2 linked regions of the Oreochromis niloticus genome follow. The main gene of each other region encodes a partner of the protein of the gene in region 2 in a complex. Links are inferred from orthologs where the notes say so. Each region holds a gene or a part of one and is shown on either strand. Other genes may lie near its edges.

Evidence for each region.
Region 1: coa1 (region 2) and acad9 share a complex: the UniProt entries of both Homo sapiens proteins name them as parts of the mitochondrial complex. The link is inferred for Oreochromis niloticus from reciprocal best matches to the Homo sapiens genes COA1 and ACAD9.

Annotation. Positions count from the first base shown.
Region 1 is NC_031970.2:37,937,073-37,947,621, forward strand, and holds the start of acad9 (complex I assembly factor ACAD9, mitochondrial), read left to right. Parts: upstream 1-5,540; 5' UTR 5,541-5,649; coding exon 5,650-5,832; intron 5,833-8,133; coding exon 8,134-8,227; intron 8,228-8,353; coding exon 8,354-8,455; intron 8,456-10,549. UniProt on the Homo sapiens protein: As part of the MCIA complex, primarily participates in the assembly of the mitochondrial complex I and therefore plays a role in oxidative phosphorylation.
Region 2 is NC_031982.2:1,693,133-1,703,499, reverse strand, and holds the start of coa1 (cytochrome c oxidase assembly factor 1 homolog), read right to left. Parts: upstream 4,046-10,367; 5' UTR 3,770-4,045; coding exon 3,712-3,769; intron 709-3,711; coding exon 601-708; intron 1-600. Other genes in the region: uncharacterized protein LOC100710183, read left to right, coding at 4,502-4,580, 5,779-5,852, 6,115-6,270, 7,697-8,012, 8,200-8,398, 8,740-8,785, 8,861-8,952. UniProt on the Homo sapiens protein: Component of the MITRAC (mitochondrial translation regulation assembly intermediate of cytochrome c oxidase complex) complex, that regulates cytochrome c oxidase assembly.

The DNA of each region.
Region 1 (10,549 bases), on a different chromosome or scaffold from region 2:
ATCTCTGTATGGTATTAACCCTGAAAAGCCTGAACCAAGAAATAACTGCCAGGAAATTCACACTCTCAGAACACTCTTTTTGAGAGTGTTTATTCAACCTTACTTTTAATTTTTTACAAAAAAGAAGTGAAATATCAATTTGCATATATGAGTTTTAATTTATTGCTACAACCGGCATTTTTGTGCAATTTATTGCTTAAAAGTTTATTGTGCAGTTTATTCAGGTTTTTCAGGAAAAAAGAAATCACATTGATAATGTAAGGGTCTAAAAAACTCATGTATCAATTATGATATACTTGGCATTACAGGGTTAAGTTAAAATAGGACCCAACTGTACTTTCATGCAATGCACATTTGTTCCACAAGATGGTGCTGAAATAAATGTAACATTATAACTTGTAAATCAGGTAAATCATTAGGAAAACATTCCTATTTGCAATGGTGGCCTGCAAAAGGCAACACGTTAAAAAACATAAAAAATGAAAAGAACGACACCGCCGAAAACATTTCAACACACCTGCTGAGAAAACCACTGCCTCCTGGTGGTGAAAGTTTTATTAACGCATGCGTACAATTTGCAGTGTGTGTTTACAAAAAGTACCTTTAAAATAGATTTTGTTGTGTCCGTGCACTGTAGGCTCCTGTAACTTTCACACCTTATAGTTGGCTGCAGTTTCTGTGCTACAGAGTCAGGAAAGTGCCAATATTGCATTGTTGAAATCAGTTTAACGTGAAATCTACTGGGGCTATATTTAAACCCCAATGCTGTACATGACCAATCACAAAGTTTGTCTTCAGTCCAGGGTTCGAACACTAACAGGCTGTTAGAGAGTAATGGTACAGGCAGACACCAAGAAAGGAGCCCGAGTTACTTTTATTACGCTACAACCTTCCAGTTCCTTCAGAGCACTGATCTATTGTGAAACCTGTCCAGATTCCATGTGAGGTGCTTTGTTGCATGCCATTGATGCCTACTGTTTCTTTCTTCTGCTCTCCTTTTTTGGTTTTGTTTGTTTTTGTTTTTTCAACTGTTGCTCTGTCAAGCGGCGTGCTTGACTAGAACTTAACCTTCCAGCATAGCTGTGACTTCTCTGACTTGTGCTTGTTTACATCTAGACGAGTTTTGGACTGCTAGTGTGTCTTTTCATTTGTGCATCATTCTCCTCCGGCATGCATTTCACCCATATTTCCACTGTAGAGTATAAAGACCTGGCAGCGTACTGCTGAGTGTAAATATGAAATCTAATGTAACTTGAAGTAAAAGTAAAGAGGGCTGGACATGGAGGAAATATTTTAATGGCAAGTTGGTAATAAAGAATGAGTAACATATGTAAATAGTCTGTAAATTATTGTTATTAATTATTCTTATTATTACTATTCAGTGTCTACAGTTACATTGAAGGTGCATTCCTGCTCCCTTGTGATCTTTACATAATCAAACTGCTTCTCTCTGCCTCCGACAGGACTGAATTATCATAGGATCTAGAGATGAACAGCCAATTGTTACACGGTTAACACCGCTTCTGTCGTCTTTCCTGAGATGCTTCTGTTTTCTCACACTCACAGCCAGACTTCTGAAGTCAAAGGGAAGAGAGGAGTGCTCTTATTTTATTATGCATTCTGTTTCTAAGTAGAAAAATACCCATTGATGTAAAACTAGTACTGTGACAATGTTGAGAACGCAAAATAAAATGATATACAGTCAAATCGGAGCAGTTGTCTGCCTGTTTGCATCCTGCTTGGTATTTCTTGGTGTCAGATGAACGACTGGGAAGATCAAGGAGCTACACTTCTTGTAGGCTGAATTCTAAGATCCCTAAATGAGTGAATGCATGAAAGCAGATGGAGAGGAGGAAGTAAATATGGCTGTGCTGTAGGCTCCTCTGTACCCTGACCTGAAGGCCGCATTCCTACTTTGCTGTACAGCTTTATTGTCCTTTTTTTTTTTTTAATGCAAAAGTATGTGCATCCCAGAACTGAACTGGCATAGTCTTCCAGATCAGTCTCACCTGCAAACATTTCCCAGTCCGTATTGTCAGGTCAGTCTTGCAGTATTGCAGGTTGCTGTTTTGACTTCAAGTCTTTCTCTGCAGATCTGTGGTGTATACCAGAGTAAGGCAGAAATGATCTAATAGCCTCAGCTGTGCAGATAGATGTGTCTTATGAGCTCTCTGTATATTTGTTTTACCACTCCCTTTAATGTCCATGCTCATTTAATGTCCATGCTCATAATAAAATATGAATTCTCACCTGTTACTGTGTCTTAAGTTGGTTTGAACAACCAACAAAGAGCAGATGCTGGCAGGTTTAGATGTTTATTGAAGTGCAGCAAGACGGATACTGGTAAGATTGAGAGTTTTCAAGTGTCTTACTCAGAACTCAGGAGGTGTACTTGGTCAGCTAGTTGCTGAGAGGGGATGGGTGGAGAGCTGGCAAGCAGGTGGAGAGGAGGTTAGTCCTTTGAGGGTAAATGCACTGGCATGCCAGAGCTGAGAAAAGCGGCTGATGGTGCTCACAGTCTTCAGGCATGTGTGACTTGGAGGCAGCAGGTTTCTCTTGTTCACAGAGAAAGAGCGTTACACAGGCACAGGAGATTACAGACAACCACAGCAAGGACAATCACCACCCATCAACAAAAAAATAATTAATTACACCATTAGGAATAGGCGTGGGAAGAACTGTCCAGACAGGAAAACCCGAGACTTAATGCCAGTCCAGCAACTCCACCTGAGACTGAGAGCAAAAGGGTACCAAAAAAGGAGGAAAATATAAGAAACTAAAGCCCATCCGGACAAAACATGTCAAAGTGGCCATTTTGGCCTCTATCAGGTGCCAACAATTGAAAATAAATGCATTGCACCATTTGGTAAATATTGTAGAGATAATTTTGAACATAGCTCTAATGGGTTAGGTTGTTCTAGACCTGCATGCACTATAGAAGGAATATTTATACATCCTATAGAGGCTTTTCTACTTCAAAGGGTTTTGTGCCAGCACTTGAGCAGGTTTTTCCTAACCCCAAACATGGTGTGGTGGCTGAAAATCGGGGAACTATATAGGAGTCCAAAACATCTTAGGACAGCATCTCTGTGATACAGTCATCCTAGTCATATGACCAGACTATAACAGATATTTTCCAAGAACCCGGTGGCTGTATACATTTCTTCCTTGGCACCTTTGGAGACCCAACCTTGTTTTAGAGTTTTATGAATCAAACACTGTCATGGAAGCTGCGGTGACTCCAATGGGAAAGGAAATCTTAGCACAGTGGATCAGCAATTACCCATGAATTTCTTGTGATAGCCACTGATCTTTGGGGTACAAATTTAAGACCAGCATGTGGTGCTTTTTTGTAGCAGTATGGTCTTTAAAGAGTGTAAAGAGTTCTATTTTAGCCACTGGCACTGCATCAGTGGAAAAGATGTACTAGAGCTCCAGAACCTCTGCCTGCTTCTTCATTCTTCCTAAAGGTGTCAATATTACATTTCAAAAGGTCCTGCTGAGAGTAGTCATAGAATATTCTCAAGAGTGCTTTAAAGGCTTCTCTACCCAATGATGGTCCTATAGCTGAAGAAACTAGGGCCTTTAAAGAACTGGGGTTTTTTTATATGTATATGTGATATATTCAGTCTTTATACCCTATTCTTCTTAAAAGTTGCCTAGTGTCCCTTATGTAGATTTTTACTGAATTGAAATAGACTGCATAGTTGTGGAACCAGACTCTTTTTTTTTTTTTTGGCTTTTGTATACTCAGCCTACAGCCAGTCTGACAGTACACAGTCTACTCTAGCAGGATAAAGTGCTTTGAAATATCTAGCATTGCAAATGTTTACACTTTAAGGATCAACGTCTTGCTCAAGAGCAGGGTGGGCAGGGGTTAAAACTATCAACCCTGTTAGTTAACCACTGGCTCCTGAAACAGAGTGTGCAAGGACAGGACTATCTACAGTAACTGAGACTAGATTAGCTCAGAATTGGTCTTCTTAGAGTGTTTCCATTATTAGATTTAGTGCACACTATGCATGTATTCGTGCATTTATGTATTATCTTGTATTGGTCGGGAACTTTCATGCAAACTTGAAACTCCACATCCTCAGTTTGACCTGACAACATCATCTTGATTTTATTCTCAGCTTTAAATTCAGCAGCACATAAGACATTGTACAAGTACTCCAACAGGGCGAGTACTACCTTGTGATGAATAAAATGACCTTTATGTGTGAATTTAGTGGAATTCCTAAAATCCCTACATTCCATGAAACAATAGTGAGGATATGATACCCACTGTCCTCGGCTGCAGCTATACTGTCCTGCCCATGAGTGATACATATGTGCTTCTATTTTCCTCCCCTTCACGTAGCTCCAACAATACAGAGGTCACCAGGGACACTGAGATATTTCTATCAACCTAAACAAAATTCTCAGGAAGTTGAAGCCTCTGATGAAGGTCACAACTGCAGTACTCTTATTCTTTTTTCAGTCTCGCACAGCCAGCATGCCTTGGCTGCTTGCCTAACTGTGGCAGGTGGTCTGAGTGACAGTTTGCCCTGTTTGTCTGTCTGGCCCTTGAGGCTGGATCTAAAAATAGATTCCAGCAATGAGGGCCACATCCGTAGTGTCAGCAGGACAACGTCATCATGCGGCCGGGAGGGACCAAGTACAGGGCTTCATTTCCTCTGCCAGCAAAGAACAGCATGTATTAGACAAGTACACATTCAATGATACGGAAGCAAACCAGCTCCAGGTTTTTATTTCTGTCAGTAGGGTGTGTGCATATTTTTCTTTTATTTATACAGCTTTTAAATATCTTAGTTGGTGGTGAAAATTATTCTACACACATGACAGTGGATAAAGAAAAGAAAAAAGTTATTGTCCATCATTTAGGTCCAGTTTCCAGTACAAGTCAGAAGCAGAGCCCTCTCTACTCTAGGGCTGAGTGGTGTCTTTGCATAATACGTCATCTAGTGGAGTCCTGCAGATATTACTATGATATGTTCAAGTACCGTCGGAGATTTCGAAAAACCAATAGCACTAGTATTCATGACATACACGAAATTTAATTTCTTTAAAGGTCTTGTGTTTTCCAACTTTAAATTCGAGGGCTCATAGTCAGCGAGACGGAGGATCATGGAGTCACGTATGGGTTTGTTTTTTTGTTTTTTTCCTGGGATTGCTCTACCTGAAAGCTACAAATATGAATTGCATATTTTAGTAATGAAACATGAGTGAAACATATACATTATATACGGATAACTTGGTGAATAAAATAAAATATAATTCAACAAACACTTTAAAAGTCACAATCTTTATGACCACGGTCTTCTGTAAAGAACACGTGAAAAATAAAAATCAAAGTTGGTGAAAGAGTTATTTTTTACAACGATATTGATTTAGATTTTTTTGTAAAACACACAAACAAACAAAACAAAACATAATTTGTTATTCAAAGTTACATACCGAGCTTACTGGCAGTGTAATGTGTTAGAAGACCGTTCGCATTTGTCTATAGTTTACATGGGTCAGAGAACGCCTCTCGAACATATCTGTTACGTCATCAGCATGGGACAGAAACGGGTGAAAGGTACTTTGCTGCTTTGGTTCGGGAGCAGACCGATGGCTCTATGAAGTAGGGAGGTTTCTGCTAATAGAATGATGAACATGAACAGATTAATCGTCTTCTCTCGAACCTTTCGCATTGGACAGCGGTTGCTTGGCTGTCACGCGAGGCATGCTGGGAAAGAAGAGCTGAGACTACAGCAGCGGAGGAGCATTAAAACTCACTCCAGACACCTGGCGTATGCGAAGGATCTGTTCCTCGGTCAAGTGAACAAGGTAAAGGAAAAGAGCTGCCAGAACGCCTTACCAAGATAGTGATGGGCGGAGGAAGTCGTTTCAGAAAAGACTTTGTACTTTAGATGATAACTATATTCAACGCTAACAATCACCACCGTTCTAGCTTCGAATGAAGTATCGTTTGTCGTTTAGGAAACAAAGGGCTTTAGACGCAACACCAGAAAAATAAGACAAATAAAATGCAGGGAAGCTTGAAAAAACTGAGGCTGAGGCACTGTAACACCTGTTTGGAGTAAATGGTGATAGAGACTTTAAATATCTACCCAAAGTAAAACCAGTTATCGTGTAGGAAGGTCTGTTTATCTCACACAGTTATCACACAGTGATAACGTCTTCCTTTAGATTCCTCCATGTTGACATGAATCAGAATCAGAATCGTGTTTATTGGCCAAGTATATGTGCAGACAAATACAAGGAATTTGGTTCCGGTAGATGGTGGCTCTCAAGCACAGCAATGTAAATCACACACACGCACACACACACACACACACGTGTCTATATATACATTACACATGCATACACATACATACACAAAGCTGTGTAAACTAACTATAAATAACTAATCTAAACTTATATACATAAAATACAGAAATGAAATGAGGTGGAATGAATTCTTCAGAATGTACATAAGGTGCAGTTGCAGTCTGGCAGTGGGAGCAGTGTGACAGGTCAACTGTTTAGAAGGGAGATGGCGAGGGGAAAGAAACTGTTCCTGTGTCGGGTGGTCCTGGTCTGCAGGCTTCTGTACCGTCTGCCAGAGGGCAGCAGATCAAAAAGTCTGTGTCCAGGGTGTGGGGGGTATGTGATGATTTTCCCTGCCCGTTTCCTGGTTCTTGAGAGGTACAGGTCCTGGATGGAGGGCAGGGGGGCGCCGATGATCCTTTCTGCTGCCCGTACAGTCCGCTGCAGTCTGCTCCTGTCCTGTTTAGTGGCTGCACCATACCAGACTGTGATGGAGGAGCACAGGACAAACTCAATGACCGCAGTGTAGAACTGGATCAGCAGCTCCTGTGGAAGACTGTACTTCCCCAGTTGTCTCAGGAAGTACATCCTCTGCTGGGTCTTTTTGAGGATGGAGTTGATGTTGGTCTCCCACTTCAGGTCCTGGGAGATGGTGGTACCCAGGAACTTGAAGATCTTCACAGTCGACACAGGGCTGTCTGATCTGGTAAGGGGGGGCAGAGTTGAGGGATGTCTCCTGAAGTCCACTGTCATCTCTACAGTCTTAAGCATGTTCAGCTCCAGATTGTGCTGACTGCACCAGAGTACCAGCCGCTCAACTTCCTGCCGGTATGCAGACTCATCACCATCCTGAATGAGGCCAATGACAGTGGTGTCATCTGCAAACTTTAGGAGTTTAACAGCCGAGTTCTTGGAGGTGCAGTCATTAGTGTAGAGGGAGAACAGTAGTGGTGAGAGGACACATCCTTGAGGGGCACCAATACTGAGGGACCGAGTTTCAGAGGTGATCTCCCCCAGCCTCACTTGTTGCTTTCTGTCTGTCAGGAAGCTGGTGATCCACTGACAGGTAGCTGGAGACACGCTGAGCTGGGAGAGTTTGGAGGAGAGAAGTTCAGGCACGATGGTGTTAAAAGCTGAACTAAAGTCCACAAACAGGATCCTGGCATAAGTTCCCGAATCATCACACATTCAGTCTCCCTCTGTAACACATCCCAAGGCTGCTCTGCAGGATTTGTTTCTAAAGTCTGGAAGAGGCCATTAAAAGATGGTAAATCATGGCGATAAAGGGATGCACATGGTTACCAACAACCCTTACAGTGCTGTGATTGCTTCAAGGATCTCAGAGTGTGGAGAGAAAAGATTCCCTACACAGCAACAGCAATCTTTACTTTTGGCACAAGGCAGGTCAGCACAGTGGAATCATGCTCTTGATTCTCCCATCAGGACAGAACAGGGATTCACCAGCTTTTACTTTTCAGTCAAGTTTCTGCTCCCTGCAGTCTTACAGTTCTGTACCTGCCACTCACTGCGTGGTTTCTGCAACATTCTGAGTAAACTCTGGAGACTGATGGGCAGGTGAGCTGGTTCAGAATCATTTAAAACCAGCCCAGGCCACAGTCAGATTCAGGGACATGACCTTTTTCTCCTTTCTCGTATTTAATATGAACATCAGCTTTATCTGCAGGATTTAATGCTTCACACTATCACCACATGTTGGGTTAGAAGTATATAACTATATAACACAAAAATATGACTTGGACATTAACATAGATGCATAACCCTGTTACGATCTCTAAAAAGGCCTGTTTTGTTCTCCAGGCTGAGGTCTTTCCTTATCCGGAAATTGGAAATGATGAGTTGGAGGAGATAAAGCAGCTCGTTGCACCAGTAGAGAAATTCTTCAGTGATGATGGTGAGGTGGGACTTGAGTACATGCATGTGATCAATGACTTTCAGATATGATTTTTCAGAGGAATTAAATGACTGACATTGGAATTGGTGGATTTTGTTTGTTTTTGTTTCGGGGTTTCTTTGTCAGTTGACTCAGCAAAAATTGACCGAGAGGCCACAATCCCCCCGGAGACTCTGCAGGGGTTGAAGGATCTTGGGCTGTTTGGAATCATGATTCCTGAAGAATACGGTGAGATGATTTTAACAAAGCCCTTCTAAAAGCTAGTCTTGTCTCTCGGGATCCATCTTAAAAAATCAGTGAAAATTGATTTCAAAGCATTTTTGAGATGATCTTTAACTCCACCCAACTTTGCCCCAAAGTGAAGTTAGAAGTTAAGAGCAATGGTCTGTACGTTATACTAATACTTTGATCTGTGTTGTTACTTATTTTTACATTCTTTTATTTAGGGTATTTTTTTAAGGACAACTCCTCCCTCATATAATTTGTGTGACTATTTAGCTTGTATACACAACTCTTCTAAGGCTACTAGTTAGTTTCAACATTGCACTATACATAACAGAAGGATGCAGCTCCTGTTTCTGAAAAGTCAAGCCGGTGCAGCAGTGCCTGAAACTTGCATTCTTTTCATTGGCCAGCAGAGGGCAACTTCCTCCTGTGTAGGGCTGCCACAAACGATTATTTTGATAGTCGACTAGTCACCGATTATTTTTGCGATTAGTCGACTAATCAGATCATGCATCGATTGGACGTAAAACTTACAGCTTGAAAATATGTTAAACGTTTATTTTGTGACCCAGAAAGAATAATAAGAGTAATATTAAAACTAACTAGCTGCCGCCATTGTTGACAACTGCGCTGGGCCGCACTATGAATTCTGGGACACAGCTTCTTCTTCTTCGGGGTTTAACGGCAGCTGGCATCCTTTACATGCACTGCTGCCATCTTCTGTTTCAGTCCGTTATTACACTTTTAAATCCTACTACTTATTCCTGCGTCTTTTGGGATCTTACAAAGCTTCAAACGACGCGTCGACTATTAAATCAGTCGTCGACGATTTTGATAGTCGACGTAATCGTGACTAGTCGACTAATCGTGGCAGCTCTACTCCTGTGGTTGCAGAAAAGACATCTGATTGTGTGGACACCCTTAGTGGCATTTATTTCAATTCACTTTTATTTATTTATATATTTATACAGCACCAAATCACAAGAACAGTCACCTCAAGGTGTTTTATATTGTAAGGTAGACCCTACAATAATACATACAGAGAAAAACCCAACAATCATATGATCCCCTATGAGCAAGCACTTTGGCGACAGTGGGAAGGAAAAACTCCCTTTTAACAGGAAGAAACCTCCAAGAGAACCAGGCTCAGGGAGGGGCGGCCATCTGCTGTGACCGGATGGGGTGAGAGAAGGAGAACAGGATAAAAGACATGCTGTGGACGAGAGCCAGAGGTTGAAAACAAGTATGATTCAATGCAGAGAGGTGTTTAAACACATAGTGAGTGAGAAAGGTGACTGAAGAAAAAAATACTCAATGCATCACGGGAATCCCCCAGCAGGTTATGCCTATTGCAGCATAACGAAGGGAGGATTCAGGGTCACCTGGTCCAGCCCTAACTATAAAAAGGAAAGTTTTAAGCCTAATCTTAAAAGTAGAGATAGTGTCTGTCTCCCGAATCCAAACTGGAAGCTGGTTCCATAGAAGAGGAGCCTGAAAACTGAAGGCTCTGCCTCCCATTCTACTTTTAAATACTCTAGGAACAACAAGTAGGCCTGCAGTGTGAGAGCGAAGTGCTCTAATAGGGTGATATGGTACTACAAGGTCATTAAGATAAGATGGGGCCTGATTATTTAAGACCTTGTATGTGAGGAGCAGGATTTTGAATTCAATTCTGGATTTAACAGGAAGCCAATGAAGGGAAGCCAATACAGGAGAAATCTGCTCTCTCTTTCTAGTCCCTGTCAGGACTCTTGCTGCAGCATTTTGGATTAATTGAAGGCTTTTCAGGGAGTTTTTAGGACATCCTGATAATAAAGAATTACAGTAGTCCAGCCTGGAAGTAATAAATGCATGAACTAGTTTTTCAGCGTCACTCTGAGACAGGATATTTCTAATTTTAGAGATGTTGCGCAAATGGAAGAAAGCAGTCTTACATATTTGTTTAATATGTGCATTGAAGGACATGTCCTGGTCAAAAATGACTCCAAGGTTCCTCACAGTGTTACTGGAGGCCAAGGTAATGCCATCCAGAGTAAGAATCTGCTTAGATACCATATTTCTAAGATTTTCAGGGCAGAGTACAATAACCTTGGTTTT
Region 2 (10,367 bases):
TACTCTGCGCATTCATTTTAAAAGGGATTTCTAATTAGATTAGACAATTCCTTAAAGTAACAAACGATTTTGATAACTCTGATAAAGAGTCAGAATATTGGAAAGAGGTTCAGACTTACAGCTGTCAGGGGTCGAGGTAGAAGAGGGCCAGACATTAGAGCAAGAAGGGTTAGGGTTAGGCTTTATCAGCTGGATTCACTCACTGCACACATAATGTGCATAAGGTTTACAATTAATAAAAGTACATTAACATGCACCTCTGCTTTATCATTTACTTTAAACCCAAATTAAACTACATTAAACCACCAAAACAGGTGATGACATTCAAACAGTAATTAGATCACCATGTTTTTGAACATGTGCATGCATACCAACCACAGGATTGCACTAATTCCTGAAGCCAGCCCAGTTCTGCTGAGCTAAAAACCTGAAGAATTCACTCTCAGCTGAAGTTAACATCAAGTTGAATTTTTCTACACTCTCAAATGGCAAATTTCCGAGAGCTACAGTACATGATCGAAGCTGCTGACATGAAAAGTTTCACTAACTGGAAGCGTTGGCCGAACTGTAAATGAAGCACACACAGAGCATTGTACTCACTCTGTAGCAGGTAGTACATGGTGCCAATCCCTCCACCCGTCAGCACAGTGGTGAAGATGGTGAGCTGCTGCAGGTGACTGTTGGAAATCCTCATGCTTGCTTTCTTTCCTGCAAAGAATGACAATGATCTGGTCGGTATACAGAGAGCATCGGTGTTTTAATAAGGAAGTATTCATGATTTGCCGTGAATTCTGTGGTGACTTTAGAAAACAATCTAAAAGTTTCTGAGAGGCTTAAGTCTTACACATTTCCAATTTTCTGAAAAAGAAAAAACATGTTTTGTCATTTTTAATAGCAAAAAATATGGTGACGCACTGACCCTCTCTCCTACGCACATACAGTTGGACAAGTACTATTAATATCACCGCCTGCATCCATGAGACAGTTCAGCTAATGATGGTAAAGGTTGCCAACACACAAAGACACATACATGCACATACATAATCCATCACAAAGTGCACCATAAGAATAACCACTCCATATCCAAATAACTGTGAATACATCCAATACATATAGCTATAAAGTCAAGTATGGTTCATGCTTTTGATTTTTTCCCTTATTTTCAGTCATGTATCTACTGTTTTTATGGTGGATGCTAAGATTGAACATGTCCAAAGCTAGCACAGGTAGAGAGGAGGTGATGGTGCTGTACGAGTGGTGCCTGGAAATAACCCGTCTCTTAACATCAGCAAAACCAGAGAAATGATAGTGGACTACCGGAAACGACCAGTCGGGGAACACCAGCCCATCCACATCAACGGTGTCAAGGTCGAAAGGGTCAGCAGCTTCAAATTCCTTGGAGTCAACATCACTGAGGACTTCTCCTGGACCCTTCACACAGACACTGCTATCAGGAAAGCTCGCCACCGACTCTACTGTCTGAGGAGGCTGAGGAAGTTTGGCATGAACGCCAACATAACCTCAAACTTCTACAGGTGTGCGATCAAGAGCTTGCTGATGAGCTGCACTACAGTTTGGTTCGAAGCTGCTCTGCCAGCAGCCGGAAATCTCTACAGAGAGTGAAAGCAGCAGAGCATGAGGACTCCTGTCATTCAGGATCTATCTTCAACGGTGCCTCCGTAAAGCACACAGCATCATCAAGGACCACAGCCACCCAGCACATCAGCTGTTCTCCTTGTTACCATCTGGCAGACGTTACAGGAGTCTGTCTGCTCCGACTACAAGACTCAAAAACTGTTTTTACCACCAAGTCGACATCTCAACCACAACACTTCACAGGATGCACACAGCTGTTCTGCAGTTTCACAGGTACATAATACACTCAGCACTGGTCACCCCATTTTTATTTTTTTTATTACTATTTCAATAAAAATAAAAACCCTCACTCTTACTGACCCTTAACCCTTACTATACTGCGGAGTGACTGTCTTCTGCTCGTCAAATACATTTTGATCCTGTGCTAACTTCTATATGACAAATAAAACGGAAACTGATGAGCCAAAATGTTAGGCTCAGCCTGGCAGCATTATATCAGCGCAAGTGGATCTCCCTAAAATGGTCAGACTGAGGATGAAAACAATGGCTGCACCACGATAATAAGGAAGTTTAACTGCAGCTGAGAGTCTCTGTTTAGCTGACATGCAGAGGCCTAAGAAGGTCAAACTCATGGAGAGAGAGAAGACGAACGCTTCTTTTCTTCTTTATGGGGTTTATTGGTGGTTGGCAAACAGCAAAATGGTGCATTACCGCCACCAACTGGCGTGGAGTGTGGACCGAAATGACAAAAAAAAAATACAAAAATTTAAATCTTCCCAAACAAATGGGTCTGCCTTAAAAACCAAAATACAGCCTGATTATTTTCACTTACAGAGTTTGTACGAAATAAATCAATCAAGTCCAACTTGACTCTCATATCATCCAGCTTTTTGATCAGTTGTCTTCTTTCAACATCATACTTTGACAATGCAACAAAACGTTCTATTGTTTCCTGTTCCCTACTGCAGTCACACTCCCCTGTACAGTGTTTTCCTATTAAAAGTAATGTGCTATTCAAACCAGTGTGTCCGAATCTAAGTCGAGATACAACCGTCTCCTCTCTCCTGTTTCTTCCTGTACATCTCATTTCTCCTACTTTCCTTTGGATTTTGTAAAACCATCGGCCTTTCCTCTCTTCCTCCCATTGCTTTTGCCACCTTTCCTTCATTTTGTATCGTATTCTACTCTTGATCTCTGTCCTACTAACACTAATAACCATATCCATCATTGGTCTCCTTGTTGCTTCTTTTGCTGTCCTATCTGCTGTTTCATTTCTGCTGATACTCATAAGAATGTGACCATAAGCCCCATCATAACAGTTCTGAATAATGTTTGCTGGATCTCTATCAGAATGTCAGGTCTGCATTCTGAGTGATTGCCTTGCAAACCAGCCAGTGATGAGTTCGAGTCCGAGCGTATCACAGATCTTAGTGGTCTGGTTTCTTCAGTCCACTGGACAGCTAACAATATTGAAACCATTTCTCCTGTGTACACTGATAAATCGTCACTGATCCTTTTCCCGACCTTGATATTAAACTCAGGAACAATAAATGCTATCCCGCTTTGGTTGGCTGTATTCTTTGATGCATCTGTGTAGATTTTTCAAACTGTCTACAGAAGCAACAAGTAAATAAGTATAGTTAGGGTGACCATATTTTGATTTCCAAAAAAAGAGGACACTTGGCCCAGTCATGAAGAACTTTAATAATACTGTTTGCTTAAAGAAAACATATTTAAATGATGCCTTCTCTGTGCGGTAAAAGGTGAAATAAAAAGTGTCATAAAAGCTTTTACAAGTCAACAAGTGCAAAAAAAGAGGACAGTTGGTCACCCTAAGTATAGCTAAGCACACGGGGTTTGAAAAACTAACACTTTTCTTTTTTAAATATAATTTGCTTCTTGAGGAAGGGAAACGAGGACAAAGGGCTGAGATGTCCAGTTTGCTGAAACACATACACTGCATGTCAAGGTTATCTTCTATATATGTCTAAATGTCGTTATTCACTTGAAAGAAAATGATATTTAAATAGCTAAGGTGTGTCACAGTTCAAGGGCTGCATCCGTGGATACAACTATAACACCACACGCCGGTCACACATCTACACAAACACTCACCTTGCGTTACGGCGGACCATTGTATTCGCTCTACATCCGTTAACGTCACAAAACACATAGCCAATCGGTTGTGGGTGCGCTTTATTAAACAGCCGGTTGCGCCCGTCGTCGCTTGTTCGCGCAGGCGGTGTTTATCCAAATATGATATTAGATCCTGTCGGGCATGATTCAGTGAGACTCTTTGCAGAAAGAAGCTGAAGCTGGAAGCCGTCCTTTACCGCAGTACTACATGAGACCTGTTTATGGTGGTTCATCAGCAGCACAGCGCGTCTCACCACCGTCCCTCTGGCCTCATACATGTCCTGCATCACCCTCACATGTCACTCCTGACTCCTTCGTGTAGTACCAGTTCCACTCTCTGTACTTTATCATCTGATTTCTTATGGGGTTTAAAAGAAGCCAGCTTAAAATGAAACTAAAAAATATTGGCATTGAAAAATAATATTGTAACTAAAATAAATAAACAGAAACATTTTGTATTGAAAGTGAAAAAAGACTCATTGAAACTCTAAATATAGACATTAAAACAAATAACTCCTGACCAAGTCTATGGGCTCAAAATGTGGTCATAAATATTTTGTACTTGTAAATCAGGATTTGTATGTGTAAAAAAAATTTGTGTGTGTGTAAAAAAGATTTGTGTGTGGACTTAGCCAAAAAAACCCTGCAAGTTACAAGTACGAATTTTGACCCTATTTTTCTTCCTTTAAGCTGATTGGTCAATGTCATGTCAATCACAAATTAAATAATCCAATCAGAGAACAGATGGGTTTGGCTGACGGGGGGCGGGATGCTTTACGGACCTTCAGGTCCTGGAAGGGTAACACAATTTGAAGATGGAGGGCAGCGGTGGCGCTTCTGCGGCGCAAGTAAGCTTTAATTTATGGTTTACTGGAACAAGCTAATTGTCCAGACATATATTTTTGAATATCATGTTCGGTTCGGTGCCAAAAGCTAGCCTAAAAAGGGCTCTCAACATTAGCCCTAGTGTTGCATGTGTTCAAATAGTCTCCTGTGTGGCACGGTCTGTCTGCTTAAACATCAGCATCGTGGAGAATTATGTGTTTGGAGTTTAATCCCGATGAGATGTCGTTTTGGTAATAATTGGAACTGAAATGCTCTGACTTGACCTTAGCACTGGTCCCAGGTCACCCCCGAGTTTGTGTTAGAGTAATACTACAGTAATTACAGCACACAACAACTTTCAGCAGCTACTGAAAGTTAGGGGACCTAGCTTCAGTGAGCGTTTTGGGATTTATGACAGCTTATAGGCAGCGACATTAAGAAGTACTCTGTCATACAGTACCAGATTGACCAAGAATGCTTCTGTAGTAACTGTAGTGCAGTGTCTGTCTGGTGTCAGTAAGCTAACGTCTGTTGATATTTGCTTTACTGGATGTGTCTTGTTCAAAATTTTAAGAAGGAATTCAGGAGAAAAAGATTTAAAAAGATTGAATTTGCTTCAGCAGTTGAAATTACAAGTTTATAGTGCCAGCCTTTTGTGTGAACCAGCTTCCCAAAAAGGATAATGCTGAAACGGGCTTTACAGCTTATATACTGTGACATAAAAACAGATGCTGATTCTAAGGCCCAGTTCAGGGCATCTTGTTCAGACTCCCTAACCCAGAGACTAATCTAACCATTATCGTGTGTTTGTAAGCATGCTGCAAAAAACCCCTCTGCACTCTGTGTCCCTGCAATATTTCAAATACAGCGCTGAATGACGCTCTCAACCTTCAAACATGGAGTGCCAACATGCTTATGAGCACATTTGCATTGTGTACATCTTAAAAAAATAATGAAACAGCCTTATTTAATAATTTTGTAAACTTGTAAATAAATTTTCAACCCTAACAGATGTCAAATGTGTTTAGGGACTTTTAAAGTCTTTCTTCATCGGGTTATGTGTTTTGAAGTGTGCTATACTAAATTTGTGGGTCATCTGTGTCATCATGGGAACATCCACGGGGTACTTCAGAGAGAACCCTTCTAAATAGGAGAGTGTATGATACATCCATAGAGAAACGTGTAAATCTTTGAAAATTGTCTGATTGTTTTACTTAACAGGTGACTGTAAATCAAGTGGACCTTGGTCTATCTCCCTCCAGAACAGAGAACCTGGATGTCCCTGTGACTCTTTGGTGAGTTCATTTTTTTTTCATTATTAAAGTAATGTTGTTTGAATTTTTTGAATATAGCAAGGTGGCACAGGATAGAACATATTTAAAAATAATTTTTAATGCAATTCAGTTTCTTTACTGTATTACAAAGTTAATCAAAATAAAAAGATTTTCATGAGAATATTATTTGGTTTTATTGAGTTTTACGCAGTTTGACATATCATTGTTCCTTCAATGCACTTCATATGATATCAGTAATTCCATCAATTTTTTCTTCTTTCAGGTGGCTTTAGGAAGACATGTTTTCCAAAACCTTCAAAATAGGCTGGTGCAGTCCTACCAACAGCAGCCCTTGGACCTTGATCATATTGAGTTCCTCTGCGTGAACGCATCAACTCTAGTCTGTTCTCTTTCTGCTCATATTAATGTTCCATCACTGGTAGGTTTATTTGATTTAGTTTTGGTTATCTTTAAAAATCGTTTCAATATATGCCATTCTTATGTATCTTATAATGTTAATTTTACAGTGTAGTAATTATGCTATACAAATAAACCTGTCATCCATTGCTTTGTTAAATCCAAGATGAAATTTTGTTCTGTGTTTCAATTAGAGCTGGGCAATAAAACGATAACGATATGTATTGCGAAATAACTTTTTCTCGATAGAAAAATTAAACTATTGCGATAGGCCTCATCTCTCTTGTCCTCTTAAAAAAAAAGAAAAAAAAGAACAGCCAATCAAAATTAAGTAGCGCAGAGCCGAACCAATCACAGCCGCAGCGTCACGTCACGTGACTTGTTACGTACAGCACAAGCGCCAAGGCGCACATGTGTATTTGTTTTTGCAGCCGTGCAGCCCGGGTAATGAAGGAAGTGAGTGTGCCGACTAGAGAAAAATCAACCGAGAGCGTGAGCGAAGGTTACCGAAGAAAAAACAGATGATGGTTCCAATGCCGGAGAGCTTGTCGAACGGAAGGGCCACAGAAGTTCCGTAGTGTGAAGGTATTTCGGCTATTTCAAGTCTGACAAAAAACAGAGTAGCGCGCACTGTAAATTGTGCCGAAAGCAAGTCTGGAAATACAATAAAGCGGTGCATGCTCAATCTCTGACTGAAAGCGCTGATTCGTCATTCGGCTTTTGTCAGACTAAAGTAACTGTTAAAACTGTTTGAAAAGCTAAGCTATACAACAAGGAGAGATTGAGAATTTCCTTTTAGTTCTCAGTTTATTTGATATTGACAAAAGTTAGTCAATTTTGTCTGTTCTTCTGTAAAACAAACTAAGATTTATTTTTAGAATTAATATTTTGTTTCTAAGTGGAATTGACAATTTAGTCTGTTTTGTTTGTTCTATTTTGAAACTTAAACGCTTTAGCGGCTGCCTTTTGTGTAGTTTGCAATATTTGCCTTTATTTATCTGAAACTGAAGTCTCATGTTCCTTAAGTACATCTACCCTGTTGAACTTAAATGGTAAATGGCCTGTATTTATATAGCGCTTTTATGGTCCCTAAGGACCCCAAAGCGCTTTACATATCCAGTCATTCACCCATTCACACACACATTCATACATAATACAACTTATTATGGGAAATAAATATTTAAATCAAAACAAGCTGCTGATTATTTCACATTTTACTTGTGAGTAACGGCACATTTAAAACTTACAAATATAGTTATTTGGCTTATATCGTGATATATATCGTTATCGCCTGAAATGAAAAAAACATATCGTGATATGAAAAAATCTTATATCGCCCAGCTCTAGTTTCAATATAAAGATTGGGGATAAGAATAATGTTACTAAGATGGTAAAACTGAATTCTAGGATTTCATCCAACTAAATATTTTAATGCAACCATTTTTTAGGTAGTTGAAGCTCTTCACCACCTTATCTGCCTCATCCATTCCAATATGGATACGAGAAGGTCTGCCATTGTTGTTGACAGCTCAGCTGGTGAACGGGGGAGGGCAAAGCTCTATGTTTCCAAAGACCACCTCAAAGATCTAATAAAGATGGACCTCTCCGTTCCTTGTATCTCCAAGCTTTTGGGCATATTGCAGAAAACAGTCCGACGAAGAATGGAAGAGTGGGGCCTCTCAATAACGGCAACCTACAGCTCACTATCAGATGATGAACTTGACAACTTAATTGCAGCCATAAAACAGGAATCGAAATGTCTGGGTTAGTTATTCATGTGAAAAATAATGCTTGTAATAAGATTCTATTTTATTTTTCTTGCTTGCAACCTTTCATATTTACATGAATAACACTAGCTGAATGTCATGATTAGTTAGTAGTTTGATTTACTGTACTATAAGTGCCTTCCAATGTGCTGTTGTAATTGTTTCACTATGGGATGTCTTTTTAGGCTACAGAATGGTTAAAGGACGCCTCAGGGCACTGGGCCACAGGGTGCAGTGGAACAGAGTATGGGATTCCATGCGTCGTGTTGACAGTGCTGGAATCCTTGAAAGGATGGCAAATCTTGGATGTGTTGTTAGAAGGACATACAGTGTTCCTGGTCCTCTGTCACTGCTCCACATTGACACCAACCATAAGTTAATTAGGTAAGTTTAACATAATAGTCATAGGGCACATTTGGGCCCATTAATATTTAACTCATTAATGCATATGCAAACACTGTATTTTACATTACGCCATTACTTTACCGCCAAGTTAGTAGTAATATATATATATATATATATGTATATATATATATTCTCTAAATTCTAACAGATTAAGAGAAGTTCACCAGCCTTTGCATGCTTTTCGAAATGTGCGATCCACTTTCAAATTTGACAAGTCCTAACTTGTAATGTTTTATATTTTGATTATTGGTGAAAAATGCAATTAATTAATTATACTCAGTGGCTGAAGTCTTAGGGGCTGTGTCTTTGTCTCTTTGCAGATATGGACTTGTGATGTTTGGTGGTGTTGATGGCTTCTCAAGGAAGGTTTGCATTCTTCACTAAAATAGCAGAAAATGTGATGCTAGTAATAGTACTTCCATAATGTCTCTTTATTTTCAGATCTTGTACTTGAAAGCAGCTAACAACAACAAGGCTTCTACAGCGCTGACGTTCTTCCTTGAGGCTGTACAGAAGCATGGATTTCCATCGAGGTATAATGCAAAAACTTGCTGTTCACATTAGAGCATAGAGGCTTAAATCAGTCTCACTTCAATTTTGAATACACATTCGTGCCTGACACACATGCTTACTGTCTGGAAATGATTGAATTTTCCTATCATTTGTATTCTATTTGCAGTGAAATACTACAATAATAGTAATAATAATAATAATAATGATACGTTTTATAACATCTTAAGGTTACCTTACAATAGCACAAGAACAATAGCAACAATTCAATATATTGAAACATTGCAAATAAAATTTAGACATAAGTTAAAGAAGAAAAAAGCAAGCATGACAGTATAAAAGCTGAGCAAGTTAAAATGGACTAATACAGAATCAGGTGTATGCAATTCTGAATAGATGGGTTTTGAGACGTGACTTAAAAGTGGTGAAAGAGTTTGTGGTCCGGAGATCTGGTGGAGGTACATCCAAAGTCTTGGGGCAGAACAACTAAAGGCTCTGAGTCCCATTGTAGTTAGGCAAGCATGTGGAACAGACAGAAGGGAAGCTGAAGAAGAGCGAAGTGTATGAGGGGGCGAGTACAAATGTAGTACAAATGTAGAAGATCAGATAAATATGGACGAATATGTCAAATTAGTGCCAGCTGTTTCCCATGTGTTTTCATTTCCTCTAATCACACTTGTGTGTATTTAGTCTGTGTGTTTCTGTTCATTCTTTATCATGTTGTCTGTTGTCGTTTGTGCCATGTTTCCATGCGTCTCTGCTTCTACGCTCCAGGTTTCAGGTATCTTTGTATCCACGGCGAGTTTCATGTTTTGGTTTTTATGTATATCTTTAGTCTGCCCAGTTTAGCTTCATCTCTGCCTTTTGTTTTGTATAGTTTTTACCAGCCTTAAGAAACGGCTTGCTTTCTGTTAACATTCAAGTTTTGTTCCACATTCCATTTTTGTCTGCACTTGGGTCCACTATTCATACTTCACACAGTCAGCTGCTCAGCCAGACTGTGACAGAACAACCATTTCACTGACTTTGCAAGTTAACATTGCTAGTTGTGCATTGTACTTTTGGGGGAAAATATTTACAAATATAGTTCTGCATAAGACAGGGGTGTCCAAAGTCCGGCTTTTTAATTGGCCCTCAAGTAATTTTATAAATAGGATAGAAAATGGCCCGCACTTCAACTTTTGCTTGAGTGTATTGCACTTCTTAGTTTTAACACCAGGGGGAGCTGCTGTTGATCAAGGCAGTTGCTCCACCAAAAAGGACAATCACAGAAGAAATTTACCCCAAGTTACCAAACATGGCAGAACCAAAGAAGCGAAAGGTAGAAAGTGAATGCAGAAAATTTCAGACACGGTGGGAGAGTGAATATTTCTTCAAAGAATTCAAGGGGAAGTGTCTGTTTGATCTGCACTGAAACTGTGGCAGTTATGAAAGAGTA